Linked DNA regions of Drosophila melanogaster. The protein of the gene in region 4 interacts with the protein of the main gene of each other region in a pairwise test. Each region holds a gene or a part of one and is shown on either strand. Other genes may lie near its edges. The genes, in order: CG17162, Srp9, CG15043 and Pect.

Region 1 (7,908 bases), on a different chromosome or scaffold from region 4:
ATCGTTTGATGTAGTATAACAATAGAATCCAATTATTTCGCGGTTATGGATGCTAGTTTGTTTCTTCTTTCTTCTTATATTTTTATAAATAAATAAATTCCGTTACGCACCTCAGCATATCCTATGGACTTGAGCTCGGTGCTGGTGCAGGGGTAAAGGTCCAGAAATTTGTAACGGTCAACCAGCTGGGCGGTCTCCTTGCCCTCATACTCTTTAAGCTTTAAACAAATATTATTATAACATATTTCTAAAATAAAGTAGTAAAAGAACGCACGTTTTCGAAAACGGCACTACGGCGACGTTCGACCTTAACGATGCTGGAGAGATCCCCAATATTAGATTCGAACTCGAGGAAGCGATTCCAGACCTCAACACTCTTGTGCGGCGACAAACCACCTGAACTAAGTACCCGTTCAAACAGGACGCGCGTATTATTGTCCTCGTTTAGATGGGACAGGTAGTCAATGTAGCACATCACGTACTCTGGACTGCCACCAAAACGCTTCAATCCCAGCTCGAAGATGCGGAACGCAATTTCTTTGTCCTTGGAGCAATAATACTCCATTAAAGCAGCGGCCACGAAAATGTGATAGCGCGACCTTACGTCCTCCCGAGCTTTCTTAAATATGCTACGGGCCGACTTGATCCCCTCAGCACGACGGGCGAACTTCATGTACTGAACATAGACCTGGAGTATTAAATTTCGATGGTATCAAATATTTGATGAAACATATTCAATATGTGTGTTCCTACCAATGTGGGATCAATGTCTGGCAACTGTAACAGCTTGTTGTACATAGTGTGCACCTTCTCGTACTTGAGCCGTCCTTCTTCAAAGTCCGCATAGGCAAAATATAGCAACGCATTTCGGTTTAGCACGCCGTTTATAGACCGTTCCAGTATATTAGCACACTCGTCCGCAAAAATCTTGGCCGCCTGGACGTCCTGCAATGTTTTAATAAGTAATTAAACATGTAAATACACAAAAGTTCGACTTAGTTATAAGAGTAAAACGCGTGCGGCCTGGCCAGGGGCAACGGGGCAAGCCACGGAAAGCCATCTGTGTTGTGCCACTGCGTGCTCCTTTACCCGAGGGGCGACACTTCTTAGCAAACAAGAGACTATATTTGATTCGTTTTTGGTTTTGACCTTTGCCCACCACCAAGCAAAGGCCATAACCCACTCTATTTGATTCACTACAGGAACGCAGAGAATAGGTGAAATGTTTTCAACACTAGTACGCACGCCTTTTTCGGTGAGCACGCGAGCACTGGTGTCCAGGAATTGGGAGGCCTGGTGCCACACTGCCGGGTGGTGGGTGAGCACCAGCAAACATTGCTCCGTGGCGAACATGACACGACGGGTTACTAGGGCCGTATCTTCAGTGCGCAAGGGATTAGACTTCTCATACGTGATAAAGCGCTTCCACAGCTCCACTTGCTTCACCTCCTCTTTTGTGAGTGTGGGTGGGACGGCTGGCAGATTGCGATTGAGACCCTTTGTGTGGTATTCCAACTCTTTGGCAACACGACGAGCGTTCATGTAATCCCTGGTTTTAAGTTGGAATTTAGAAAGAACATTTAGCAAACTCTGCGTATAACACTCACTTAGATCGCTCCAGACTCATCTTCTCTGATATAATCGGGTTTATGTTTTGCTCGAATGCGATATAGTCCTTCCACAACTGCTCGATGCCCACGATAGGTGTGACTACAGCCTTTTGATAGACGCGGCGCACTGCTGTGATCTTTTGGTTCTCTGCATAGTTGCCCACTGCTTCAACGCCCCGCAGAAAGTATATGTAATCCTGCCAGATGCTGAACGAGTGTAGATCCATGCCGATTTTCTCCAGTGCAAAATCATAAGCCTGGGCCATTTTTTCTCTGAGAAAAGAGATAAGTCCAATAAAATAAGCGTGTCAGAATAACACAAATGTTGTGCATCAAAAAAAACAATATGCTCGCTGCATTGCAAGTTTTGACTAAAATTATAATAGTTTCTAAGATGTCAAATTATGTGAATTATTTAAATAAGGTATAACAGTTACTTGTGAGTACTTAGACCCGACTTGGTTTCCTTCACGTAGGTAAGATAGAGCTTCCAGAGGTCGATGTTCAAAATCTTGACTAGGCAGCGTTGAAAAAGTTTCTCCACGCGTTCATAGTACCGGCTGCGCATCTCCATCTCAATGTATAGCTTCCAGTACCGAGCGGTTGTCGGAAACACATTAACTAGCGACTCGTAAAGACTGCGTACTTCGTGGATTGGCCGCGTTTGGGCCTCTCGGATCATGACACTCCAGGACTCGATGTCATAGGGCCGCAGCTCCACCACTTGCTGAGCTCGCACCAGGCGCTCCATGCCCCATTCCTTGTCATCGATAAGTAAAAATATGTTGTTACCATCCAAATAAAGCCAATGTTTTACTTACTATGTCGACTTTGATAAGGTCTCTGGCCGAAGACATTGCTAATAGTCTTTGCAAATTGTCGTTGAGTCCTGCTTGCGCTGCTCCTTGGCCCGGGAAAGTTCCTTTCTTCCGTTGAACTTTCGCTACGCAATTACCTAAAGCAACGCTTGGATGCCGCTTTTCCGAATTCTTTTAGAAGTTGCAATGCGGCTGCTTAGATATCGACGACTGATTGGATGTAACTGCGATAGTGTCATCGCCAATCACATCGCGGGCCTTACCATTAAAATCCCAAGATTTGGGATGTGTAGTACAGCGGTCACTGATTATAAACTATAAATAAAAAAGATATATGGTTTTAACATACTTTAAAGGTACTAAATCTGTAAATAATGAATTCAAGCAGAAGCAATATTTTTTATAGCTTGTTTCCACTGAAACATTTTTCTGTACGTTGCTAAGGTGAAGGTTGTTAACAGATACTTTGAACCGTTTAAGTTCTATGTAATAGTAAGTAAAAGAGGTAATATTTAATAAAAAGGCATTTTTAGGAAGCCTGGAATTGTATGCCTAGTAGCGTAACTAGGTACGAATTTTTCCTGATTACCCTATAACATTATACATTAAAACAATATAACATAATATGAGGTAAAGGTATTCTTGGTATTGTGGTATTCGAACAAACATAACTATGAAAACACACGAAAACATTATAATTTAAGTCAATGGATTGTTCTTAAATGTTTTAGACACGAGTCCAAGTGATAACAAAATTCAACAAGGTTAACGGAACTTATTTTTTGCTATAAGAAATAGAAAGTGAAACGCACCTTTCTTCAGCAACTGTAGTGTTAAATTGTTTTAAGAATTTACTTACAGAGAAATGTTTTATTGAAATTTAATTTTTTCTTTTGTTGTTTCTTTTTCATGTTGAGGGTTCAACATTCCCACAATTTAACAGTTTAAGGAATACCCAGAATCTAACCCTAGAAATAGATTGGTATATTTATCGATATTAATTCAGTACCAGTATGCGGTCACATTGGGTAAGTGTCAAAAAAGTTTTAAAACAAACGCTAAACAATCAGGAGTGGCAATCAAACGAAACCAAGCGCATTTATTAGCCGAGAGATAATTCGAGTTAAATTCGCAACTAGTATTAGTATCATTCATTGAAACCGATTTATTAAACTGCCAAGGTAGACAAGACACACACACATGTGCGTGTTTCCGGAGAGCATCACAATCATTGCAGACCTAGAGGCCAACAGCTGTTGTTGATGTCCTAGCGGTATATTTACGGTTTATAGACTTCGACAAGTTAGTGAAATTATTACCGTTCCTGGGTCACTCTCCCTTACCTAATACCTCTGTGGGTGTGTGTGCTAAGGCGCAATAAGTGTGTCACACTGACGCGGTTTTGTGTTTCAAAGTAGAACAAACACTGTGTGTGTGTATCCCTCACATATGCATTAGCTTTGTCTCTGTTATATTGGCCAATGTTTATTCCTGCATACCAGAAATAAATAAACAAAGAAATCATTCTCTAAGCTGTGTTGCAAGCACAAAAAAAATTTTGTCTGCAACGATAAGTTTTTCCCTTGATACAAATATTTATATATCTTTTGAGCCATAGCGTTTTTTCATTCTGCAAAATTAGTTTTATTCAATGTGGTTTGTATTATGTGTTTTTGACTATCAAAACTATCAAAAAATCGTGTATTAAGGGGACTTTATACCGTAAAAATGTATGTTGTCTTACTAAAATATTTTTGTTATAAAAACTTAACTTTCAAAAGGGATTTAAAGCGAATGCAACAAAACTCATTCATGAAATATACCTTATTTTGTAGCTTATTTAATTCTTGTTTAGATAGTTGTAATTAAAAAGTGCATTCTTTGCGATTTTCGGAGAAATTATAGTTTTTAGGTCCTTACCCTACTTGTTCAAATGCAGAGTAATTTTAGCTAAAAGGGAGTTAAAAATGCCTGTTGGTGAATTGATTCATTAATTTGTTATTATGTTTGTGTTTACTTTTTTGTAAAATAATTCAATATGCAACCACTACCACGAAATCAGTTGTTCTTTGCTTGGACTAGAAAAAGCATACGAAATTAGGGAAATACCTATACAAAATTAGTTAATTAAATATAAGAGGCGGTGCCACGGCCACAATTTTTGGTATCATAAAAGATAATGGCAAAAAAATTTAAATATCTTTATCCGTTCTAGAGTTACAAACTACAACAAATATAAGGGGCGGTTTCAGAACGGATATATTGTAACCCAATCTGAATATCTTTCAACGTCCTGGAGTTATTCATTTTGGGCAGAAAAAGTGGTAAAATTTCACATAGTGGTACGTGGGCAAGTTTTGAAATATTCGCACACCCTAACGACGGCAAACCGCCCAAAAGGTTCACACCCACACTTTTGTGAAATGTTATAATTATTTTTCATTGCATTTTTTGATTTTTTGCTACTTTGTATCGCTTTGCCAAAATACCTCCACCATCTCATTCGAACGCCAACCAAATTTTTTAAATATGTTTAGACTTTTTTATTTGGTTATTATACCCGTTACTCGTAGAGTAACGTAGATTCGTTTAAAGGAATGTAACACGCAGAAGGAAGCGTTTCCGACTGTATAACGGATCAATAGCCGAGTCGATATAGCCATGTCCGTCTGTCCGTATGAACGTCGAGATCTCAGGAACTATAAAAGCTGGAAGGCGGAGATTTAGCATGCAGATTCTAGAGACAAAGACGCAGCGCAAGTTTGTTGATCCATGTTGCAACGCCCACAAGCCCACGAAAAAATGCCACAAGCACTCTTTTGAAAAATATATTGATATTTTTTCACATCTTTATTAGTCTTGTAAATTCCGATCGATGTGCAAAAAAAAACTGTTTGCCACACCCACTGTGACGCCCTTAAGCCGACAAACCGGTCACGCCCCACTTTTGAAAATTGTTGAAATTTTTTCTCATTTTATTCCCCAACATCTTTTGGTATCGCAGAAAAATATCTGGGTTAACGGGTATCTGATATTCAGGCAACTCGACTATAGCATTCTCTCTTGTTATTCTAAACAATTTTATGGATATGACAATCAAGTTTCAAAGTTTCTCCCTCGTTCTCCCCTTAGTTGAGTGGCGCTAGTGGAGAAAATCTATAGCGGTTCCTTTTGTTATTTTAACTTTTTTCCTAAACTAATTTTCCATAACAGAGATAAATTAGTTGGAAATTGTCAATATATTTCTAAATTAATTTGCTTTCTTTAAATATCAATTTATTTAATAGATAGAAAATTCATTTCGTCCTGTCTGTGTTACCAAAATATTTAGAACACTTAACAAAAATTCATATAACGTTCTGTTATATGAATTGCTGTTTGATTAACGAATGATTAAAACGTTTAAAACGTTACGTTTCGAAAATCAGAAAAAAGGAAAGAAATGCATACATTATCTTAACTTCAAAGCTTTTAAAGTTTTCGAGGTGACAGCCCCCTTACGGACAGACAGACTTTACCATATCAATTCGGCTAGTGATCCTAATCAGGAATATTGTACATATATATGTATATGTATACCGCATTAAAAGAGCATACAAAAAATTTCTGAATTCTACGACATCGAAATACAAAATACAAAGATAAAAAATACTTGTAGAGTAAAAGGGTATAGTTGATTCGTTGGAAAGTATGTAACAGGTAGAATAAAGCGTTTATAGCTTCAGTTTCAGGAACTATAAAAGCTAGAATGTTGAGATTAACCATTACCACTCTAACGCCCACAAACCGCCCAAAACTAAAAAAATTTGTTTCATGGTTTTATAAGTCTTGTACATATCTACCAATTCGCAAAAAAAAATTTTGGCACGCACACTCTACCGCCCACAAACCACCCAAAACTGTCACGCCTACATTGGAATAATTTTTAAATTAGTTTCCATTTTATTATTTTGGTTTCCAATTTCTGCCGATATTCTAAAAGACATATTGAAATATGTCGTTCCACCTGAGTAACGATAGCTGGGGAACTCGACTATCGCATTCTCTATTGTTTATAACTCATTTTATGGAAATTATAATGATAATCGTCATCAGAAATTTGTTCTGATTTTTTCCTGTTACCGTCGGTTAACTCAACTTGTTTTTGTTTGTTAGTTTATCGGGCCAAAAACCGATTCGTTCAAGCTACTTTTCAGCCATCTTGTATAACCGGTTATGATACGAATTTTCTTTATAATTATGTGGTGCATTTTTTTAAAATAATCCCTGGGACATCGTTAGATAGTGTCTTTCGACGGCTTGCGAGTTCTTGCTCCTAGATTGTATAACTCTGGACCTATCCAACAACTCTACTAACGATTTTTGACATAGTTCGTTCTGTCTCGTTTATTCTGTCTTGTTTATCGTGAGTCGAGATGTCCAAATTGGACAAAATTGGCTTGTAAAAGAGGTGTTGGTGTATGCAAAAGTTGGTGTTTGCAGTTACAATGGTTAACGACATGAACGTTAGTAATTTTTCTATCAAGGGTGGACCACGCCCACTAAGCCTAAGTGTGTTTGGATTGTTGGGTGTGGGTGTGGAAGTAAAAGAGGGCACTAAATGTGAGAGTAGATATAGTTGGCTGTGTTCGTCGGGATCTTTTCAATTTAATTTGTCTACCCTGAATTTTTTTTCACGGAGCAGTAATTTAGTGATTATCGTTTTTTTCAGTCGGGTCATTCGGGGGGAACCGTACTAAAGAGTCTACTTTGTTTACTGCAAAATTCATTATTATTAATGATATGATTAAAATGAAGTTTTTTATTTATAATCGAACACAATTTTTTGTGTACCAAAATTATTTTAGTGGTTATACATATTTAAATGATTTTTTTGAGGGTATTAATAGATACAGTTTAGCAACCCAACAATTCAGCCTTTCGTTACTTTTTCAACTCCAATCCGATGTCAAACAAACAAAAATAAATCGCGAGCTGACGTGATAACAAATAACCGCAAACTGCTGTTGCTAACAGAAATTGTATTATTCGGTTGTTCAATAAATGTTCAGTCAAATTCGGATACATTAGGCGAGGAGGAGAAGCCATCAATCAGTCAACCTACGCAGTTTACATTGTTGGATCCGACGAGCAAGTTGGCTTGAAGCGCGCTAAGCGGTCTAATATCCCGTCTGTTGGCTTGATGCCGTAAAATTTTCCAAGGGCCTGAGGCATGTGCTCCTCTGTCGGCCTGGTTGTGGAAGGCATTGCGCTGGGCAGTGGAAGCCAGTATTTTTCACGGATGACCATGAAAAGAGAGTACAATACAAAGTGTTTTTGGATGGATCGCTTTTGTCACGAAGTAGCTAACCACTATAGGGAGCAGCAGCAGCTTGGACCTGGATGTGTATCCCGAAATGCAAGCCATCGGCGACGAAAGAGGATACCCTCGGTGAAAAAATCTCGGGAGCCTGCATTATTAGCGTCAGGATATGCGCAGT
Region 2 (5,867 bases), on a different chromosome or scaffold from region 4:
CCCCGGCTTCTTACCCTTCTTTTGCTCTCTAACTCTCTTTTTCTACCCATTTTTGGCTACTATTTTTCGCCAGCTTTAATGTCAATGACCACAGACGTCAGCTGATGCATAATAAACAATTGTTGGCTGCGTTTTTACATAATTAAGGGTATATAAACAAGAAAGAGATACGAAGAGAGCAAGAATGATGTGCAAAGAAAGCATATTTCTGCGATTGTATTTCCGCTTGGAACACTTTTATAGCCTCATTATCTCGTGTTTGTGTTACTTGTACGATACGAGTGGGTCTGAATGTGGATGGTAAGGAGCAGAGAACCAGAACAGATTAAACCTACTTATTGTGCGTTATCAAATTTAAGGGAGAATCAGAAACGCCCGTATGATTCAGTGAATAGTATAAATTAGTCAATGGTATCACAGTGAATTTTCCTGGCTATAAACTATCAATGGACTGCTATTGAAACTTAAGACTATTCCCATTCCGAGTGATCTGGTTACTTCTCAGTGGGACAAGATGAAAGAGGGCTTTTGTGGATGGACTATTACCTTCTCCGACATGACCATGTTGTTGTCCTCGGTACCGTAGACAGTTTCAGCTCCGGACTGTGGTCCTCCATTGTTGAGCAGTGCATCATCGTTGTCCATCATGATGAATGGTGTTTGGGTGGATCGGAGGATCTCTTTATTTATAAAGGAGGTGTGCTCTCTACTCTTTAGGAAGGGCGAGGGGCGGTAGGGTGCTGCACTTGACTGCTGTTGATGGGTCGTACGTCACGCGTTAACCGTTATGCAGGCAATGGCTTTTCAACCCCACCAGAATAACAACACGGTAGATGGGGAAGAAAAGAGGGAGAAAAAGAGAGAGAGACTCCCACACACACGCACACACCACACACAGACACTTGACTTTTTGATGATTTGTGAGATTATATTTATATTTTGAACAGATCTCTAGTATATTTAAATAAACTGCACTTTAGCTGGCTTCTGCGTGTCACTTATTATTTGCGTTTTCGTTTTGCGCCCCTCTTTCTTCTCTTTCACATCCATTCACAATATTTGATTGACTAGATTTCATCGTTTTTCGCGTTTGCTTTTCGATGTATTTTCAGCAATGTTACTCGCGAATTTCACTGCCGACGCCTTCGCGGCCATCCGTTGCTTACGATTGAGCACTAAATTTAAGCGAATCAGTGGTTTTTCACACCATTTTTGCAATAAATATTGAAACACTTTGCAGCGCAGCTACGATGTGTGGGTGGGTGTGAACGTGTTACCCTGAAAATACCGATCACCTTGCATTGGCGAAGTGGTATTTTTAACTAGGTGTTTTACGGTCGCACTTAAGTAATGTTTAGCAAATTATTACACCGTAACTTACTAAAATTAATTATATTTATTTCTAATATTTTCGATTTATGTAAAGTTTAAATTTAGAAAGGCCCTTGTTTGAAAAACCGTCAGCAAATATTTGAAAAATACTAAGACATTCACAATGGGGTGTTCAGCTGTTGAGCTATTCGTTATCGAATAGTTTTGGCTTGTTGGTTTGGTATTTTTTCGATAGCTTCAACGTCACGCCGTCCAGTTGCTGTTGTTGTTTTTAATAATTTCGCCTGGATTTCCATTTGTTTAAATAAAAAATGGTTTTTGTAAAGAACTGGGATGATTTCGAGATTGCCGTCGAGAACATGTACTTGGCCAATCCACAGAACTGTCGACTTACCATGAAATACGCGCACTCCAAGGGCCACATTCTGCTAAAAATGACGGACAACGTTAAGGTTTGCACCCAATTCCATTATCAGTGCAAAACACATTTTTAAATTTTTACTTCATTAAACCACAGTGTGTGCAGTACAAAGCGGAGAACATGCCGGATCTCAGAAAAATCGAGAAGATCACCAGCAACTTGGTGGGACACATGGCGTCCAAGGAATAGAACGCAGAAAAACAGAAACTTTTTGGCCACGGCGACACTTCTGCCCAGGAACAACAACAAAGATCATAGCACATGCATGAGCATATGAATCGGCCACGAATGTTGTTGTTGCTTCGCCGGAGCAGGTGTGTGCTTGTGTGTGTGCCATCAACACCCGCATTGAATTTAGTTTTTAAGCACCAAAAAAGCCGCCGAGTTTTTGACATTCGAATGTGGCGATCAGAGTAGCTGCTGCATTTAGCCTGCTTTTAAACGACATTTTATAAATGTCTGCTCTGTACACGTTGCGAATGAACTGCGGATGGAATCATCATCATCATTACTTCTCTTCTGGTGGTCCAAATCCCCATCTGCAGGCAGCGGCGGCGGTGCAAAATGTTTTTCATAATGTTAACCATACGGTTTTGTATTTATCGTAAGAGTCAATCGGTCTTTCAACACATTTCCATGAAACGATTAGCATGAAATAAATCAAGGGAGAACTGAAAAATGCAACGAGACTAATCAATCTTTTGGTGTTTTTATCATTAATTTGGTTTAAAAACCCCATTTTATATATATCTAGATCAATCAATCTATTCCAAAATTAAGTTTCCAATAGGTAATGCAACCAAACCTGCCATATTTTTCACATAAAAGAATATTTTATTCGTTCTAAGTATTACTCATGTTACCTGAAATGGATGTAATTTCTTTCGGAGCATATCAAAAGAATTTATTAATATTTCCAGCACAAGAAGAGGGAGTAGTTGGCATTCGGAGACGTTTTCCGAAGAACTCTTAATTGCCTAACCATTAAAGCGATTAAACAGCCCGAGCAAACAGTTAACAAGCCACCTGAAAGCAGGAGGAGGAACCGAAGAACCACCGATGGGAACTGGAAATGGACAGCGGAATGGGATGCTGGCTCACTTAATAATCCGAGAGCAAATATTGGTTATTTGCCTGCGAGAGGCACTCGAGTTTATTTGCCGCAGGAGATTGACAGCAGCCCGCCGCAAAAGATTGATGGAACGACTGGAACCGCTGGCCACTGGATTGGACAATTGGACACTCGGACATTGGGACACTGGACGATCGGTAGTCCACAAGTGTTTGCTGAGAATGCAGAATGCACTCCGTTTGAGGTGGGATCTATCTACATACATACCTGTTGAACGGGAGGCAACTCAGTAGCCACCTTGGATTAAGTCGAAGCGTTTGCTTGACCCACAGAGATCCGCTCGAGCGGACCTTTTGATCAGCCCTCCACCAACCCTACAGTTGCAGCTCAAGCGGACTCCATCTCACTTGGCCATTCTGGTCATTCGATTGAAGAAACCGTCAGTTTCCGGCAGCAATATGCATAGCTCCACGACAAGCTCATTTGGCTTCTGTTTGAAGGAGACGCAGATGATGACATTGGCTGGCGGAGATCGCTGGCGATCCTCTGCCCAACCCATCGGATGTTTGTGTTTGCCCCGCATTGGGCTTTACTCGATTTTTTGTTTGGATTTGTTTGCCCAGTGCATTGCATTGCAATCACAATCACTTTAGGCAGCTCGTCTTCGACTTTTTAAAAAGCTGGAGAAAGGGTATACATTTAGTTGGGGTGGGACTTGATATGGTATTATTATAATGTTCGATTTAAAAATATGAATATCCCTTTTTAAGCTTAATAATAGAATTATGTTAACGGTGTTCTAATATTATAGTGCCTATATATAGATCTCCATTTCCAATCCTTCTAAGGGGCTTGCGAGTGCAATAAAAGCCCCATAAATTTTATAGGCAGCCCCACAAGTTGCAGTTATCAAAATCAACAAATCAAAAGACAGAAACCACAACGAGCAATCTGTAACGCTTTCATATATACCCAGTACATACATATATGTACACATATGCGTTGAAAAAACATATATTTTATATAGATGGTCGATTGTTGGGGGGGCTGCTACTGGTGTTGGAAAATGGGGGTCGTAAACTGGAAGCATAGCAGCGGGTACGGTGGCAATAATTTCGATCTTTACAAGACGATAAAGCCCATGGTTTAATTAGGCCCCAGCGATTCTTGGCCGCTCGCCCTTCTCAAACTGTTGCGATAAACTTGACAAATAACATAAATACCTTTTTATTGCGGGTGGTTGGGATGTGGGGTCGACTCAGCGGGGGTTGCGGGTCTGATTGGGGATGTCGATGTCTCCGGGCGGTAAGGCCTTCTCAAATAGACCTACTAGTATTACGCGGACCATGGCGGTACGTGCTTTTTACGACACCCACTGTGGCGTCAATTATAAAGATATTTAAGTACAGTTAGCATGCAATTAGACGGACCACAGTTGACTGTATCGCCATGGTCAGAACGACATGGCAATCCCTCTGATTTAATATATAATATATGTATGTATGGTTTTATATGGTATCGGACCGGCACGGCCATATAACTAAGTCCAATTGATTGCCATAACTAGTTGGTCATATGACAATTAGTTATAAATTAAGACCACCGATTTGTTGCACAATCTAAAACCAGCGCATGTTGAGGATTTGCTCAAAGACTAGAAGTAAAGCTATATAGATATGGATGCCTCTTCGAGGTGAGGATTTTGATCTAAAGTTATATATCATAATGATAACTACTCCTCATTTCTACATCAGGAAAGTTTGTATAGCCTGCTTTTTGGAAGCATCATGCATTATGACCATACTTAAAAGTATGTACGTAAATGTTCTTTTGGTTATCTATATCTATATCTATCTTTATCTATAGGATATCTATATTATTATTGTTTTTCCCATTTTAATGGATTAAATAGATTTAGCCCGCGAATTCCCTTTGATATTAGTCACACATTTCAGCCGCTTCGTCTTATAACTCGGTCAATAGCTTGTGTCAATAAAAAACTCATTAATGGCAGGTATCATTGTCTCACAGCCCCCCATGCTCTACCATCTCCCCCTTTTCCCCATTCCCCACCGGAGGGGCAGGGGTTTGTTCACAACAAAGCGAAATTGAAACGCAAACCGACTAAAAGCTACTTGCCACCCCTTTTCCGCCCCCTTGGGCCAATCTATTGACTCAAAACGGTAGCCGCTCAACAGTGGCTAATGGTCATAATTAAACGTGGCTTATTTGCATAAATCAAGTGGTGAGTTATGTTCACCTGGGCAGTGCCAATGGAGGCTTTGAAGGTGTTGCAGGTGAAGGGAAATCGCTTTGAACGACTCCAAAAGAAGCCGCTTACTCTTGCCCAGTCGATTGAACTCCATTTTGCTTGGCATACCCTTCTAAAAAGGTATGTTAGCTTTGATAAAAAATAAACACAAAAAAAAAAACGAATTGCAAAAAATACACTCTACTTTCTACTTAATAAATAATTGAATCACTTTTTCTTGCTCATTAAGGAAGTTGGGCCATAAATTGCAAGTAATTTTTCATTTTAGCTTGACACACTCATAGAACTTTTGATTCATGATTATTACACGCAAACAATTCATAATTACACCCATGATTTCATTATCAATATAACAAAGTTTTCCAGTTAAATGTATCTGTAGGTGGCATAAAAACATGAGTTGTCCGAACCGGAAGAACTGAACCTACGTCAATTCGGAATATATCATAATCATCAAAAGGCCACAATCAAATTGAAGAGGTGACAGCATGTCTATTAGAAACGAAGTGCTCAAATTATATCACTTTCATTATAATTGAATCACAAGGAGTTAGCCAGAAATTTCGCAATGTCCCGGAATCGATGAAAAAAAATATGAGTTTCGTTCAGATACGGAAGCAATTGGACACTCAAGTTTTTGGCACCCGGAGATTTGTCATGGGCCTCTCCTTAACAACCACATACTAACAATATCATCACACGATTCCAACTTATCGGGGTGCACAAATCAAACATATATTGTAGCAAAGGTGCGAGAGGGCGATTTCAAA
Region 3 (6,210 bases), on a different chromosome or scaffold from region 4:
GGCTGGTCAAGGTCATCAGGAACAAGGAGCGCGAAGGTCTCATCCGAACGAGATCCAGGGGAGCCATGGAGGCTACAGGTGCGTATAGCCCATATCTCATTTATGTATATTGTTATGTGTTCTTGCATAACTTGCATAACTCATGACGGCTTATCGCATAGTTAAAAGAACGTGTTGTATGGAAAACAATAGTTTTATCTTGAGATGTTTGCATCAAACGCTGAAACGCCAGCTATTTGGAATTTGAATTGAAGATAACTTCACGTTCCGCTTTGTGGCAATGATAAACCTTTAAACTGCAGACTCATTGAATTTCTTTTACATTTTCTCAGCATAATAGAATTGCCTATCATTGCAATTGAAGCAAGATTATCGTCGATTTCAAACAAGCCTTTTAGCATAAACAGTATGCATAGAAATTTACAAATTACTATTTTAAAGCATCATCCTTTAAATCATCATATTAACCCACAACCTTATAAATATCCACACAAACACTAAACTGCTTTGCATCCCGCAGGTGAGGTGATCGTCTTCTTGGACGCCCATTGCGAGGTAAACACCAACTGGCTGCCGCCCTTGCTGGCGCCCATCTACCGGGATCGCACTGTGATGACAGTGCCCATTATCGATGGCATTGACCACAAGAACTTTGAGTACCGGCCGGTTTATGGCACGGACAACCACTTCCGCGGCATCTTCGAATGGGGCATGCTGTACAAGGAGAACGAGGTGCCACGTCGCGAGCAGCGCCGCCGTGCTCACAACTCGGAACCCTATCGCAGTCCCACGCACGCCGGCGGCCTGTTCGCCATCAATAGGGAGTACTTCCTGGAGCTGGGCGCCTACGATCCGGGTCTGCTGGTCTGGGGCGGCGAGAACTTCGAATTGAGCTTCAAGATCTGGCAGTGTGGCGGCAGCATCGAGTGGGTGCCATGCTCTCGCGTGGGTCACGTCTATCGCGGCTTTATGCCCTACAATTTCGGCAAACTGGCTAGCAAGAAGAAGGGTCCATTGATCACGATCAACTACAAGCGCGTCATCGAGACGTGGTTCGACGACACGCACAAGGAGTACTTCTATACGCGCGAGCCGCTTGCCCGCTACCTGGACATGGGCGACATTAGCGAGCAACTGGCGCTGAAGAAGCGACTGAACTGCAAGAGCTTCCAGTGGTTCATGGACCACATCGCCTACGATGTGTACGACAAGTTCCCGGGTCTGCCGGCCAACCTGCACTGGGGCGAGCTGCGCTCGGTGGCCTCCGACGGATGCCTGGACTCGATGGGCCACCAGCCGCCGGCCATCATGGGCCTCACATACTGCCATGGAGGCGGAAATAATCAACTGGTTCGGCTCAATGCCGCTGGCCAGTTGGGCGTCGGCGAGCGCTGCGTGGAGGCCGATCGGCAGGGCATCAAACTGGCCGTGTGTCGTCTGGGGACAGTCGACGGTCCTTGGCAGTACAACGAGCACACGAAGCACCTGATGCATCGCGTCCACAAGAAATGCATGGCCCTGCATCCGGCCACGCAGCAATTGTCATTGGGTCACTGCGATGTTAACGATAGCTACCAGCAGTGGTGGTTCAAGGAGATACGCCCACGCTGGTAAGTCCAGCATGTTTGGGAGGAGCAGCAGGAGGAGGAGGATCAAGGAATGGATCACAAGGGTTTCAGCCGGGGCAACGGGGGCGATATTTTAGACAAAAGCAATTTAGTGAAAATGAGAAATGGAATTGTTGTTGGTTTTGTAACGCATATAAGTATTGATATACACACGAAAAACACAAGATATCACACACATCTGCATTTATGACGCGAACTGTATGTACATATGCACTGTCGGCACTTGGAAATCGCCTGGGCAACCGGGATTCAGACAAGGGCATTCAATGCTCGGCGAATAAATAAATCCACAAGGATATTATTAAATTATTAAAGCTTAAGAATTTCGATTTTGTAAAACAATGTCGTAAGGAATCGCGAACAATTGTATTTCCATGTAAGCATTAGAACAATTGCTTTTAGACCATATTTGTAGTGCATGAAGTGAATGCAATTTTCAAAATCGTGTGTGTGTGTTAGTAGTAGTCGTACTTGAAAACTGTTTTCCACTTTTGTCACGAAAGATCAAACTCCACAAAATGCACTTAGTGCAGAGCGTACGAAAATCATCACAATTAGCTGATAGTGAACCCATTCCCATTTCGATCGGCGAATCTCATACAATAGATATTCAATTGATATTTGGGAGGATCCAAGCCTGGGGGATTTCCGTGCCGACCTCGTGTGTGTGTGTCCTTGCGTATGAGTGAGAGAATGCGATGGGTATAGAGCGGAAGCGAATAAGAGCGAGATAGCGCGATGGCGGGATGGCGAGTCGAGTGCAATAGAGGATTTATGAAACGGGAACGGGACGCGATGACAGGGCCGCAGATTGTTTTGCTTTATGATTGCCAACTGAAAAAATGAATGTACTAACCTTAGTCTATACTCCTGCAAGTCCAACTAATCCTAGCTTAGTTTCAACGCTGCCACATTCCAATCTAATCCATTATAATCTATTCTAATTCCAATCCAATCCAATCCGAACCGAACCAATCGAGTCTGCAGCGAAGCTCGGCTCTCTTACTACTAATCCCATTATTTTTTTTTAAACTCTTGATTTTCGTAAAGCTCTCTGTACCAGGTAGTCGTAATCGTAATTGATCGTTGCAAGTGCTTCGGGAGTTTGATTTTTGAAAACAATATTTTACATTCATGTGTAACTTTAGAGTTATCGATAAGTCTGAATAATAGCATAGAAATAAAAACGTTTTCTAAACACTTTACCATGTAAGCCGAGCTGTTGAATGTTTAATATTGTGGGGAAGGGTCGATCCATTTATAAATCAATAGATATAATAAAGTTCCCATCTCAAGATGTGCTCACAATTTGAAACCTAAGTGCACAGAACAAGTTCGCATTTTTCGAAAGTTTTTAAAATTTCTTTTAATTTTATATTCTTTTGACGTAGGTGCACCATTAATGCCCCGCCAATTCTTTAAGTGTACGCATAGAATGGCGAGTAAATCCAATTTTAAGCAGATGATTCATAACTTATTGTTAAATCAAATCTACAATTATCGATGGCCGCGTTGATTGGGAGTGGTGATGATGGGTCGATTCGTCTCGAAGGTACTCGACGTCCCACTTCCAGGGAAGTCCACGGGCGATAAGATTCCGGGAAGTTCTTTCCTCCATCGCGGGTAGGGAAGTCTAAAAGCGCGAGGAAGGGGGAGGGAAGTCCAACAGGGGGACGCCAGCAGGTGTCAATCCTGGGGCAATAGATTGCGCCTAGAGTTAGTTTTTGGCTAATCAGGGCCTGAGGAAAAAAAAAAGATTGTTTGTTTACCGTCGGATAGGAAAGGTCGTACTCCCAAAGTGGGAGTCGTGGTCTTATCTTCCGCCCATTGGTACACCATCGCAGCTGCCGGCGGGGCGAAAGGGGGATGATTGGATCCGAGCGCAATAACACCGAAATTGTTCAATTTAATTGAGTGAAGTGGGAAGCTTCCTTATCAGCATTATTATGGTTACACTTCCGTGGGGTCGCTGCACTGTAAGGTGCTAGATATAAAAAAAAGCCCAATAACTCATTTATTTATCCTCTAAGCTCTAATTCAATACAAGAGTTTCATTTCTGAACGAGAAGTAGAGCAGTTCCAGCGTCGGTGTGACTCTTTTTCCGGTATTGGATTAGACATTGTCACTTGCCACTTGAAATTGGCAATGGGCCTGATAAGGGGGTACCTAATATGATTCAAAGAAAAACAGTGGGCGGTATAAATAGGTGGTTTCCAGACCTTGGCCATCATTCCGTGACTTCAACGTGCCGTGACTGGAGACCCTTAGTCCACACACTTCGTTTACCTCGAATTTCAATTCAACGCCCAAGATGTCCAAGTTTAGCCTCATCCTGTTGTCCGCCCTGCTGGGCTGTCTTGTGTCCGGTGGAGCGGCTGGAACAATACGTGTGGATACCACCGGCATCCAAGTGGTGGATAATATCCATGTCTTTGCCGCCCAATACCCGGGTCTGCAGATCCAGCAGATGGAGAAGGAAATTGTGCCGGCCAAGGCCCGCGTCGGAAGCCAGACCGTGCGCTACAACATGGGAGCCCGCATTCCGGGTAAGTTACCCAAAGCATACCCTACGTTTGACCGACCACCAATCACTGATCCCGCAATCTGGCATACTTTCAGGCGACGAACTGGTGGCCCAGACAGCCAACACTTACGAATTCCCACGGGCGCAAGATGTGAGCCTGCAGCTTACCTATCCGGAGAACGGCAAGGGTGCCACTGTATCCTACGTGGAGCTGCTCTGCACCCAGGACACCAACGAGGGCACCGCCTACGTGGTCGCCGGAGGCATCGGCCAGAGCTTGATCTCCATCGTGCTGGAGGCCAAGAACACCAAGAACTTCTCATACCAGGCTCTCTACTACGGAGTCAACTAGGAGGCATTTGCATTAGTTCCTCGCTAGCTTTATATATATATATATTTTTTTTTTTTTTTAAATGTGACTCCAATTTTAAATACATATGTATAATGGCAGACTAAAATGATTGCAGCACCTGCAATTATCTAGATTTACGTAATTAATTTCATTTCATTGATGGGATAAAGTTTATATGCTGTCATATGTTTAATCGTAAATATGCAATTAGATCATATATGTTTGTACTATCAGTCACTCTGTTAATTGAGTTATATGATAAATCAAATTCGGACCTGTTCCTCTAATTAAAAAATTTCATTTTTAACGAAGAATGTGTAGATCCAAAGATATACATGTACGTCTTTCACTGTGTACGATCGAATGTCGAATGTATTGCAAAGCTGAAAAGTCGGTAATGGTAGAGATCATATATCACCATCCCCAGGGTATTCGGTAATCTTGATCAATTTCAAATGGTTCGTTGCTCACGCGCCTTCCACTCGAAACCGATGATAGCCATTGCCATAAATCTGGGACAGCCACTCACCTGAATCCGCTGTGGATTCCGATTGCGGCTCCGTTTGGCATGGAAGGTGAAACCAAGGCGGCAAATCATCCAGGGATTTGTCTGCGAAAGAGTGAGACGCATGAAGTTTTTGTTCTACTGACGTTATTGAACTTTCCCCCTATCTGGCTGGATTTTTAGAAGGAATTCCCAACCGAATGAATCACGTTTTGGATGAGAACGAACAATGGCCAAACTCCCAAGACTTTGCGATTCAATTGGGTATTTATCATATAGCTGGGCATCTGAGTATCTGAGTATCTGTCTTCATTCAACTATTGGGGGGACTTTCTCTGGTGGTAAGTACGTCAGTCCAGAATCGATGTGGTATATATAGATATGTATGAATATAGTATCTATGACCATGTTGCGTAGACAGTCAATTGACTTTGTAGATACGGTTATTTGTTTATTAGATTGTTTGCCATTGTGCGCCATTATGCATATCAAGGCTAAGATTGTCGTGGAACAAATAAACAAACAAACACGCGCCATCACAGATCGTCATTCAACGGCGGAGGAAACATTTCCTTTATCCAGTAAGGTGGTGCTTCCTATCACTGGTTTTATTATTGGGTGGGTTGTCATAAAAAAAATAAAAATAAAAATCAACAACATACTATCTAGCCGCTTACTAATAGATTGAACTACGATAGCACATTAAGTTAATGCTTCTTGTACGCAGTCCGTCCAATCGTCCAATCAAATAACAAGTGTTCCCATCATATCCCATCATATGCCCATCCAATCCAATCCATTTCCCAGCGGTGTAAGCTCGAGTGTCCTATTTATAGGAACTGATCGCAGCATTATGGCCAATTAGTCGATGTGGTTTTATAAAGGCGTTTGCCGAAATTGCCACAGCCAATTCCCCCGGGGGCTTATCGTTCAGTTGTGTCGGGCCGTCTTATCGACGTAGTGACCGCCGATAAGGAAGCATGTATAAAAGCCGGAGGCGGTCGCCAGTACCAGCCAAAATTCAAAAAGCGTTCGAATAGTGCATCAGAAAAGGAGTCTACACACCCCTTATTCTTCCGATTATTTTGTTTCGTTCCCATTTTTTTTCTGGTGATCTGGTGATGTTAACAAAGATGTTCCTAGTGCTCTGCCTGGTGCTGGGCATCATGGCATCGGTATCCGGACAGCCACACGCCCGTG
Region 4 (10,513 bases):
ATCCGTGTTCTTTATGTCATCAACAACTGGCAGCACTATCTCTTCTTCCTCCGGCTGTTGATTATCCTGTAGCTCCTCTTCGGGTATCAATGTGGTGACAGAGGCTTTTTCCATGCCGACCACCTCGTAGCAATCGTCGTCATCATCATCTAGCACAATTGTCTCCTCGGTGGGCAGAATGTGCAAATAGCGACGATACACCGGCCGTTCCGCCGACTGAGAGCTGGCAAGCTCTTGAGTGGATTCGTCTGAGGTTTGCATGATTTCACGGCTGATCTTCTCCATATTCCGGACCAGTGCTTCACGGAATTCGGCAAAGTTAAGCTGTTTGAGTGATGCGGTAACAGCCTCATATTGCTTGAAGGCAGCTTCAAAGCCTTCCACATCCTCGACATCGGCCCACTCTTCCCTGGGTGCCGTTTCCCAGTTGGAGACTTTCTCGGCGGGACTCATCTGCGGCTGAGCCTGACAAATGCTTGCCAGTCTTCGATCCATAGCCTCTCCATGGAGCGTATTCTTCATCAGCGGCGGATACTTTCGCTTCAGTGGAGCCACTTTGGATGGAGAGCGGCCGCCCGTTAACTCATCCTCATAGTCGTAGTGGTCACTGGCGTTGGGCATGGAGGATGAGCTGACGGGAAATTCCGTGGGACTGCTGTGTTCGCGAAGCAACTTTCTTTGCGGATTATTTGGCAGCGGCTCCTGTCCCTCGAATGCTACAATGTCGATAGGCTGGGCTGGTTCTTCCTGGATGACTGCGTCCTCGCATTCTTCATCGTCGTGGTCCTCCAGTTCGTGATCATACACCTGACAAATATCTGGGCGTTCCTCCTCCATCGGTGTATCGTCTAAGAATGTGGCGTTTTCGTTTTCCTCCGGAGCCTCGTCGTCGACCAGATCCTGGTGCACTAAAGGCTGTTCTAGCGCTGCATCACTAAGGTACACATTGTTTCCAGCCGCCAATCGTGCCTCGGCCACACCCATATCCTCCACGACCTCCTCGATGTAGGCAGTCCCATTGAGACACTCATTCGCATCACTCTCCTCGGACAGCAAGCCCAGCAATGCACCGGTACCGTTTCCGGCCATCATGATGGCCCTGGCGAACTCCTGCTCGCATGCCACTCCCTGGGTAGCTACTATGATCTCACAGCAGTGTTCTTCTCCTAAAACGACCATGTTCTCTCCATCCACAGCCTCATAGATCACACACTGCTCCCCTTCTTCGGCCACCTGAAGTTCATGTTCAGCCTCATCATTCTCGTGGGACAGCATTTCGAACTGGTCAACATTGCCATTTGTCAGCAGCATGCCGGGGCTTAGTGCAATGCCCGGATCCTGGACAGATTCGGGTGAGTCTAAAAAACAAGAAAAGTATGCGATTGAGTGAGTTTACCATATTAGATATTTCATATTTTCAATTGGGATAAATGTTCATAATCAATTAAATGGAAGAGATTTCCTTGTATAGTTAATGGAACAGATTAACAAACCGTTGATCTCGATGACCTCGTGGCTGCTGTACGAACGTTTTGCCGGTGTGCAGGTGGCCCATACTGGGGCTTGGTGTGTCTCTTCGGTCATCATCATTTGCCGGCGAAGTCCGAATATTAAGGGTTCATTCTGAGGGACGAAACTGGAAGACGGCTGCTCCTCCGGCCAGCCCTTGAAGCCGCTGCCACTCGAGATAAAGCTGTGGGTGTCCGAGTCGTCGGAGATCACGTGCAGGTTGCTGTCCACGGCGGGGTCCAGATCTGCTCCCGTCCTCGAGGATCTGGTGACAGATGCAACAAGATCCGTGGGATACTCCCGATCCTCAGCCACGTCCGATGCGTCGCCTGGAGCTTCGCTGGCCGTATCTATCTCGTCGCCTTCCAGCGGCGAGTACCGGTTCAGTAGGTGTTCCTCCGCCGCTACGTAGGCCATCAGGCTGGCTTCTCTTCTGGACATCGCGTTGGTACGGGGAATGGGATTGGGATTATCTAGCCCTCGTCGACTCGTTTAGTAATTGTGGTAGGATTTCTTGTAAATTTAGCACGTGAAATTTAAAAAATATACTTGATGCTGTCTACAAAACAATGCCCGAACTGACTGTGGACGATCATGATTACATTATCATGGCTTGGTCGGTTTCCTTCGATTGTTATTTTTCGTATATCTGCGTGCTGTGCGTTGTATATTTCTTATTTGATAGGCTTAATATTTTAAGTTGCTTTATCCTGTGTGACCGTGGGAAACACCGTAGTATTATCTCACATCGCCATGGCCAATATGCCTCTTAAAATACCATCGGTATTATTTTTACAGTGGGATCAATCAATAAAATATACCTTTAAAATGAAAAAAAAAATTTTAATTGTGAATGTTATTAGTAGTGTTCGTTGTTTAATTCTATGACACTTTTTTTTTAATAATTGTTGTGACAATATTTACATTTATTTATAAACAAAACACTTTGTTATATCCTAAAATATTATACATTTCATTGGGGTGATCGACTCATAAGGATTTAATAGAGTTAATACCCTTTTAACGTATAATAATACAGATTTGTACTTGCTTAATATAAAAGTTCTAGCTTAGTAACATAAAATTTGCCAATTTAAAGTTATTCCCAATATATCTCGATCAGCTGTTGATGTTTACAAAATCCGCGTTAGCTGGTATTCATCGCACCAGGCATATGGTATATTTGGACAAACACCGATGCGGCCACTCTGCTCTCACGGTACTCGAAATTGTGAGAAAAGAAATGAAAGAATCTAAAAAAAAACCCAAGCTAAACACACCGCACTTACGCCCCAAAGAAGTTCCCATGCGCCCGCGCGCTGATAACGCAAGTCTGAGAATCTGAGACCAATTCCGCTCCGAGTCTGAACGTGAATCCGAGTCCGAAACCGATAACGAAAACTGAACTGAGTAGCTCGGTCGTGAAATGGGAATTGATATATAGCGGGCGTCGTCGTAGCTCAGAACAAATAACTTACAGCTCTCGAAGCGTGAACGTCGCTGTCGTCGAGTTTCCGCCTTCAAAACGAGCACTGAAAACAGAAACATACTCTCCGGAATCTAATGTTCGCCCGTTAGCCGGATTCTAAATTAAAATTAAATTAAATTGTGAAAATTCAATAAGTCAACGATGGAGGCAAATGGCGATACCAGCGCCTGCAATGGGTATTCGGACAAGCAGCGGAAGGATGTGCGCGTCTGGTGCGATGGATGGTGAGTCATCTACATTACATTTAGGGGCCTCCAGGAATTCGGTCCACAATGTCTAACGGTTCTTAGGGCAGCCCATTGCGTCACGTCGTTACTCACCGCTAACGGTAAAGTGAGTCAAAGCATAACCATTCCGCGTCGGTGCCATCGATTCCATGCCACACCACGGCCAACCGAACCCTACTATTTCAATTCCAATTTGGTTTCCAATACCAATAACCGTAATCAGTCGACGATAAACTAAACCCCATTTTTAGGCGTGCTAAGAAGCGTCCAGGGTTCCTCAATTGATTAGCAAATCTTTGTGAAACGGTGCCGTCTCGCTGCCCGTTCCAAATATCCACCCATTGCCGTCGTCCGGCTGAAATGTCTACATAATTCAGGTTCAAGGTCTCTCGGATCCGAAATGTCCATATTCTCCACGCTTGACCGGGACATTTGGCATTATATTTATATTTATACGCTATGCAATCTATTTATAATTGTACGCTTACAGTGGCTATTCTAAAACAGATTACTCAGAGAAAATGTTTAATTTGCCTTTTCCGGCGATACTCGCACTCTTTATGGCGCTTAAGCTAACAACAATACATATATCCCAAATTAGTTTGCACAATAATTAATTGCTATATGTGATAAACCGGGTGTTCGGTTCATCTAATGCATCTATGTATTTTAGATCCGCATATAGATACTATTGACGCACTTTGCCTTGTTTTGGGCACCATCAAATGGTTCTATAGGCATTGCGTTCCCCCATATATATATATATATATAATTATTTGATTCCGTGCAATGCATCATCAGAAACCGGTTTATCTTTATCGGTAATGACGCGTTAGACTGCGATATGGACGGATGGATAGATGGCCTACCATAACAAGTTTGCTTCATTGGGGGACGATAGAAATTTCCTCAATTGTGGCTACCGCCAGTCGGTAAAAATAAAAATATACCCATTGTTTATATGCGCCCTCGCTCTTTCTCTTATTTCCTTGTATTTCTACTCACCGTATAAACAATGGCACACGCCCAACAAGCAAATGTACATACATATATGTGCCATATACATGTGCTCTGGCTAACCCACTGTATCTGAACAGCCTGCCTTTCCTTCCGCTCTTCTGTTTTTGAGGCTTCAGATTTTCGGATGAGGGCTGCGTTTACGTGGCCCTTGTTGACTGTGGCTGCCCGCCGGTCGTCCGTCCGCAAACATCACGTGATTCTGGCATGCGCATGCCCTCCGCCTCGGCGATGGACCCCACACCCCTTTTGCACCACCATCATTGCCATTGCCTCGCCATTGACCCACAATGCTGTCGTCATCGTCTGGCGGTCTTTTGTGTGCCCAATTTAATTGGCATTTCGCTGGGCCTCTCCTGTACTGACTAAATAATCGCAAGGGATCGTCTTTATTTTAAAAGGGTTTTTTAAACCATATCCATTTATTATTAAGAGGTGGTTCAATCTTATAGTATACTTCTGCCTAAGCAAAAACATACATATGGCAAAACTTTTAGAATCCAATTGCGAATGCCCTGAAGCAAGATTAGAAAATGTCACCTAATTTATGGATTTAAACCTAAAACATATACATCATGCTCATTGGCATTTCCGGGTAATTTTGGCAGTCTATGCTCCCTTATGTCCATTGTCAACGGGTCACAGCTCCCTGTCACCAGTGTGGAAGTCCTCTAGCTGCGACAGATAAGAACGACCTACGTAGTCGTGCTCCAATCGCTGAAATTCCACATCAGCTGCTCATGGGCACGAACAACAAGTATAAACATAATATTTGCGTGGAATCTGATGGAATCTGATAACCCATCAGATGGGGAAAGCACGTATGTATGTGGGGCACTTGGACCCAAAAATCATTCTAATCAGCAGAGATTGATCATTGACGCAGGCACAAGTGCTTGGCTTGTCTCCTCCTTTCCACCCAAGTCAATGAACCTCTGCCAGTGGAAATAACAAATGAATGGGAAGCTCTCGTAATAAGAGAGTCCGGGGCCTTAAGGCGGGGCATATATGTACATGTGTGCTGTAGTATAAGATCTATGTATATGGCATACTTTACCCCACCAAGTCAATCCACTTTACTAGGCTCTGGGGTCCGGACGACAGAGCACAAATTCTACGGAGAATCGCGTGATATTTTTTAATCAGCAAACGGGCGTCGGCGTTGCTGTCGCTGGTGTTGTCGCTGCTTTTAGCTCACTCAATTGATTAAGCGGCCCCTGGGTCTGTTCTACATATAGAGTACAACAATGCTAATATGGGTATAGTATGTTCGGCACAGATTTCTTGGTGCGCTGCAAAAAAATCTCCGGGAGCAAAGGTTTCGCTTCGATTAATGAATGGCCCACGTTTTTACTAGCTGCTTTTTATGGTGGTGGTCATCTCTCCGCATTTGTTACTATCTGGGCAAGTCAAGGGACTAGCTGGCATAATCCATCTTTTATTTTTAGGCGTGCATGCAGGGGCATTGCATTTCATTTAAATTTCATTTCAGTTAAAGATCCAGTTTGTTTTGAGTACAACTATTTTCTTGGGAATTCTCTAATCTTCAATGGAAGCAGTACTTAAAATACTTTCCGTCTATCTATTTCAAATGAACTCCTCACAATCGATTACCGAAGAAACCGTCGATGGTGACGGTATTATTTCTTATCACCCGCCATTTAGTTAAGTGGTTACCTTTTGCATGTTATGTTAAAAAATGTTTGCACAAAGCCCGCTGGGTGAATCATTTTCCAAAAGAGCAGGTTTCAATATGAATTATTTTATAAATACTTACAATTACAATGTACCTATGGTGGAAAAAATAAATACCTTCATAATTGGTGTTAAGTGCAATTTGTGCAACGCCTCACGTCCCCCGGATGCTATTATCGCTTTCCCAAGCCAAACAAAAACCAGGCCAGGGCACGTGTGCCTATAACCATAATGCCTAGAATCGGCGGAGAATGTAAACAAGCTGAATGGCGATGTTTGCGTATATGTGGCCACTGAAAAGCTGACGCAGCAGCGTTCATAATTGCAATTAGAATTGCAAAACAACGAGCAGCAAATGCGGTTTTATTGATATCCCCTGTCCCGGTTGCTTCATCCATCTCTCTCTCGGCATTTTTGGCATACCCACTCTGATGATCGAGTCCAAAGATCAATCTCTTGACCAATGCTGGGCAAAAGTGGAGCACACAAACCGCCTCTATAGTCACCGGTGGTCAGTCCGTCAGCTACTGGTCATTAAAAGCACTCGACCAGACATCTTTGACGCGCTTCGACAGCGGTTTATGTAAACTATGTAAATGGCTTGCTCGAACCACTTTATTACTTTATCGTCTGGGGGTCATTAGCAGTACTGCTTCGACCTAGCTTCCACCATTAACTAAATGACCAGGATTCCAGCTGAGCGTCAAGACAAGTGGTTTTTTTTTGTTGGGCCTAAGGTTCATTATACGTATGTATGTATGCACATTCCATGCGATAATTGTTTTTTTTTTTTTTTTTTTTTTTTGGCAAGTCTCGAAGTTAAACACGGCTTATCTTGCGAGCTTGAAAAATTGCTAATTTTATGAAATATATGCCATTTTCTGAGTCATATTGGTAGAGGCAAGATCGTTTCCATTAGCTATTTGTCAAGGTCTCGCGGCAATCGTTGCAGTCTTAGTTATCTTAGAATTTATTAAACTTCCACGAATGGCAGACAACATTTCCGGAGGTAACTAATAAGGTCATGTTTGCTTGTTCACTGGCACGCGCTTGATAAAAAAAAAAAAAAACAATGTATCTATTCTTGTACTGACATATCTATCCTCCTTCCATCCTCAACAGCTATGATATGGTACACTTCGGACATGCCAATTCTCTGCGACAAGCCAAGGCTCTTGGCGATAAGGTAATTGTGGGCATTCACACCGACGAGGAGATCACCAAGCACAAGGGACCACCGGTCTTCACCGAGGAGGAGCGCGTCAAGATGGTCAAGGGCATCAAATGGGTGGATGAGGTGGTGCTCGGTGCTCCGTATGTGACCACACTGGATGTGCTCGACCAGAACAACTGTGATTTCTGTGTGCATGGAGGTGGGTAACAAATTTATGCATATATCTGGATGTTACTCAATCGAGTGTATTTGTTTGCAGATGACATTACAATGACAGCCGAAGGAGTGGACACATATCATTTGGTCAAATCAGCCAATCGCTACAAGTGAGTTTGAAAAGATATATTTTTAAGACATGTGGCAGTTTATTAAAAAGGGAATGCACACACACTTACCTTATGTACATCTTGCCTTAACCTTTAATAAGCTGCCAGTTGTCTTGTAAAGCACGTACTGCACATTTTTCCAATTACTGACCTTAAATTTTCTTATGCAATCCGCAGGGAAGTGAAACGCACAGCTGGAGTCTCGACCACTGACCTTGTGGGCCGCATGTTGCTCCTGACACGCAACCACTTCCGTCAAGGATCCGCGGAATATGATATCGAGAAAGAAGGTAGCTTTAGCTTGTTCCAACGCTTTTCTGGCACATTTTATTTTCATTTTAATGTTCCTAAATCACAGCGAGCACTGTGAATTTGTGCGCCAAATTCATTGTTTCTAACCATTACTAACTTTAATTTTAAGACTACTTTTTGTTTGCACTCTTTTTGTCTTTCATTTCCTGCTGTCGAACTTGTTTATTGCTCTTGCATGCTGTGCATAAATCAAAGTCGATCAATCAGTTACAAGTATGAACAATATTATACAGATATATTCAGTTTATACATGGGCTACGCACGATTAGTTTATGCATTTTCCCCAATAGATTCTTTTTAATTTGCCATAGTTGAACGCAAATAACGCCTTGGTTTATGGTTGCCCTCTACAACTTTACTATTTCTCTTCTTTTTATTTCTATGTACGCACTGTTAACCACTATCAAAAATATAATATAATGTATGAAACCTATGAAAACTATGCTAAATGTTTTGTGCGTGTGCGCGCCCGCGAAATGAATCCAAATGCCGAATGCCCAATGACCAACCTGCAATCAAAATATCCAAATCCGAATCCAAATCGAAATCAAATCCTAAACGTAAATTTTTGCTCTTAAATACACACTTTTGCTCATTTGTCTGCGTTGCTTTACAATACAAAACAAACAAAAAAAGTGTCAATTTTAAAACGACAAATAAAATCCCATCCAGGTTCTTCGAACATGGGTCAAGATTCGGCAGCCAAAAGTCCGTGGACCGGTTGTAGTCAGTTCTTGCCGACTACCCAAAAGATCATACAGTTCAGTGATGGAAAGTCACCGAATCCCGGCGATAAGATTGTAAGTTTAGCCCTCATTATATGTATATAATGTATAATTCATAATTGTCGGTATTTGCAGGTTTATGTGGCTGGCGCCTTCGATCTCTTCCATGTGGGTCACCTGGACTTTCTGGAAAAGGCTAAGAAACTGGGTGACTATCTGATTGTTGGCCTGCACACAGATCCCGTGGTGAACTCCTACAAGGGCAGCAACTATCCCATTATGAATCTGCACGAGCGCGTGCTCAGTGTTTTGGCCTGCAAGGTAGGATTGCAATAGATTCTTTTTTTTAAATATTATCTCATTTTAAAACTTCTTTTTTCCCCCAGTTTGTCAATGAGGTAGTAATCGGAGCTCCCTACTGTGTCACTGAAGAGCTGCTTGAGCACTTCAAAATCGATGTTGTCTGTCATGGACGCACACCCATTGCGCTTGAGAATGGCAAGATCGATCCATATGCCGTTCCCAAGACGCGAGCCATCTTTGAGCTGATCGATTCCGGCAACGAGATGACCACGGAGCGCATCGTGGAGCGCATCATCTCGCACCGACTGGAATATGAGCGTCGCAATCAGGCCAAAGAAAAGAAGGAAATCGAAGCCTTTGAGGCACTTCAACGCCAAAAACAGACCCAAAAGGCCGGCTAGCCGGAACCAGATTCCGACCTCTCACACTAGACGGATGTTTTTTATTTTCTAGTTGCGTTCTTTTAGTTTGTTTTATTTAGTTTGTCTTGTTTAGTATGTCGTCCCCTGATGATGGCGCTTTAATTTTTTGTTGCGTAAAAAGCGAAGCGACGCTGCCTGAGGATTCAGCGCACCGCTCTCTCGATTTCTAGTACAATTTTAGAATATCTGCACATGCGCCTTAATGATATAAGGTTATACACATAATTATATATTTCTAACACATTAACGTAGAATATTTAAAATCTAAATTTTATGTATGTAAGCTCAAAATTTGTAAATTCCCTTTAAAGTACGATGTAAGTGTGAGGAACAACAAAATTGTACGAATAGCATGTTATCCAAACTGTTGCCGAATTGAAAAGCCTTGTACGACTTGTATGTATATATATTCAGCAACGGAAGTAGGATGCCTGGATCAGGAAGTAGCTGCTTTTATCAAATGTAATCTCTGATACTTTGTCCTAATTTATTAATGCATATAGTAAGTGCGAGTTCAAGTTTTATGTTTCCTTGTTTAATCTTAGACTTAAATACATGGCCAAAAATATTGCGAATTCCAAAAAAAAAAAAAACCGGAAGTTTTATATACTTGCCTCGCTAATCACTTTCAGTTCGACGGTTAGCGATTGCTGCCAAACATCTAAATCCATTAGTGGCCGGAGGTCATTCAAGCTGATGAGGATCACGTTGCTGTCGGTCTTGATGAACTCACTGCAGGATTGGTTCGACGACAGTGGCAGCATTGGACGAGCTTTTATCTGTCTGGTGTAGTAACGTGGCAGGTTGGCAGGTTGGACCAGCAGGCGCAGAGTGATGGCCACGCCGTGCAAAGGAGTAGCCACCCAGATGGCCAGGACTTCGTGTTTGACACGCTTCCTTTCCCACAGCACCGAGTGCATGGTGCGGCAGGCGAAGATCATAAGGGCGCTATGCTGCGAGAAGCGGCGGTACTCCACTGGCAGATGGGTGTTTCGGTGACATTTCAGAGGATTAAGGCCAGTGCGCCGATAGCCATAGACCCCCAGCAGGGTGTTGACATCTCTTTCCAGGCTACTAATATGACATGTTAGTGACACTCGCTTGCCCATTTCCAGTTCATAAAACGGAACTCCCATTCCCGGCAGATGGTCACTCAAATAGTGACCCAACAGAGCGCTGGGGTCAACCGAGCATAGGCATCCGTGACATGGGCATGCCACCAGGCGCAGTCGGCTCCACGGCGAATCGCTAGATGTGGTCGCAGTGCTCTTCCTGCTGCTGGACGGCTGCTCGGTCAGCGATTCGAAGTTCTGC

Evidence for each region.
Region 1: the proteins of Pect (region 4) and CG17162 interact in a two-hybrid assay, tested with the Drosophila melanogaster proteins (one large-scale study listed by BioGRID).
Region 2: the proteins of Pect (region 4) and Srp9 interact in a two-hybrid assay, tested with the Drosophila melanogaster proteins (one large-scale study listed by BioGRID).
Region 3: the proteins of Pect (region 4) and CG15043 interact in a two-hybrid assay, tested with the Drosophila melanogaster proteins (one large-scale study listed by BioGRID).

The regions. Positions count from the first base shown.
Region 1 is NC_004354.4:23,092,255-23,100,162, reverse strand, and holds the start of CG17162 (uncharacterized protein), read left to right. Parts: upstream 1-3,428; 5' UTR 3,429-3,730; intron 3,731-6,553; exon of another isoform or gene 6,554-7,640; coding exon of another isoform or gene 7,641-7,908. Other genes in the region: su(f) (suppressor of forked), read right to left, coding at 111-218, 275-688, 754-945, 1,150-1,549, 1,608-1,883, 2,048-2,370, 2,432-2,467; CG17159 (uncharacterized protein), read left to right, coding at 7,641-7,908.
Region 2 is NT_037436.4:7,934,832-7,940,698, forward strand, and holds Srp9 (signal recognition particle 9), read left to right. Parts: upstream 1-1,541; 5' UTR 1,542-1,643; coding exon 1,644-1,784; intron 1,785-1,849; coding exon 1,850-1,942; 3' UTR 1,943-2,427; downstream 2,428-5,867. Other genes in the region: syd (sunday driver), read right to left, coding at 547-648. UniProt on the Drosophila melanogaster protein: Component of the signal recognition particle (SRP) complex, a ribonucleoprotein complex that mediates the cotranslational targeting of secretory and membrane proteins to the endoplasmic reticulum (ER).
Region 3 is NC_004354.4:18,491,813-18,498,022, reverse strand, and holds CG15043 (uncharacterized protein), read left to right. Parts: upstream 1-3,854; 5' UTR 3,855-3,940; coding exon 3,941-4,175; intron 4,176-4,248; coding exon 4,249-4,505; 3' UTR 4,506-4,830; downstream 4,831-6,210. Other genes in the region: Pgant7 (polypeptide N-Acetylgalactosaminyltransferase 7), read left to right, coding at 1-78, 521-1,614; CG15044 (uncharacterized protein), read left to right, coding at 6,132-6,210.
Region 4 is NT_033779.5:13,201,051-13,211,563, forward strand, and holds Pect (phosphoethanolamine cytidylyltransferase), read left to right. Parts: upstream 1-2,711; 5' UTR 2,712-3,139; coding exon 3,140-3,222; intron 3,223-7,059; coding exon 7,060-7,310; intron 7,311-7,370; coding exon 7,371-7,437; intron 7,438-7,614; coding exon 7,615-7,727; intron 7,728-8,385; coding exon 8,386-8,549; intron 8,550-8,609; coding exon 8,610-8,795; intron 8,796-8,860; coding exon 8,861-9,178; 3' UTR 9,179-9,778; downstream 9,779-10,513. Other genes in the region: CG16972 (uncharacterized protein), read right to left, coding at 1-1,358, 1,494-1,950; CG15482 (uncharacterized protein), read right to left, coding at 9,802-10,513.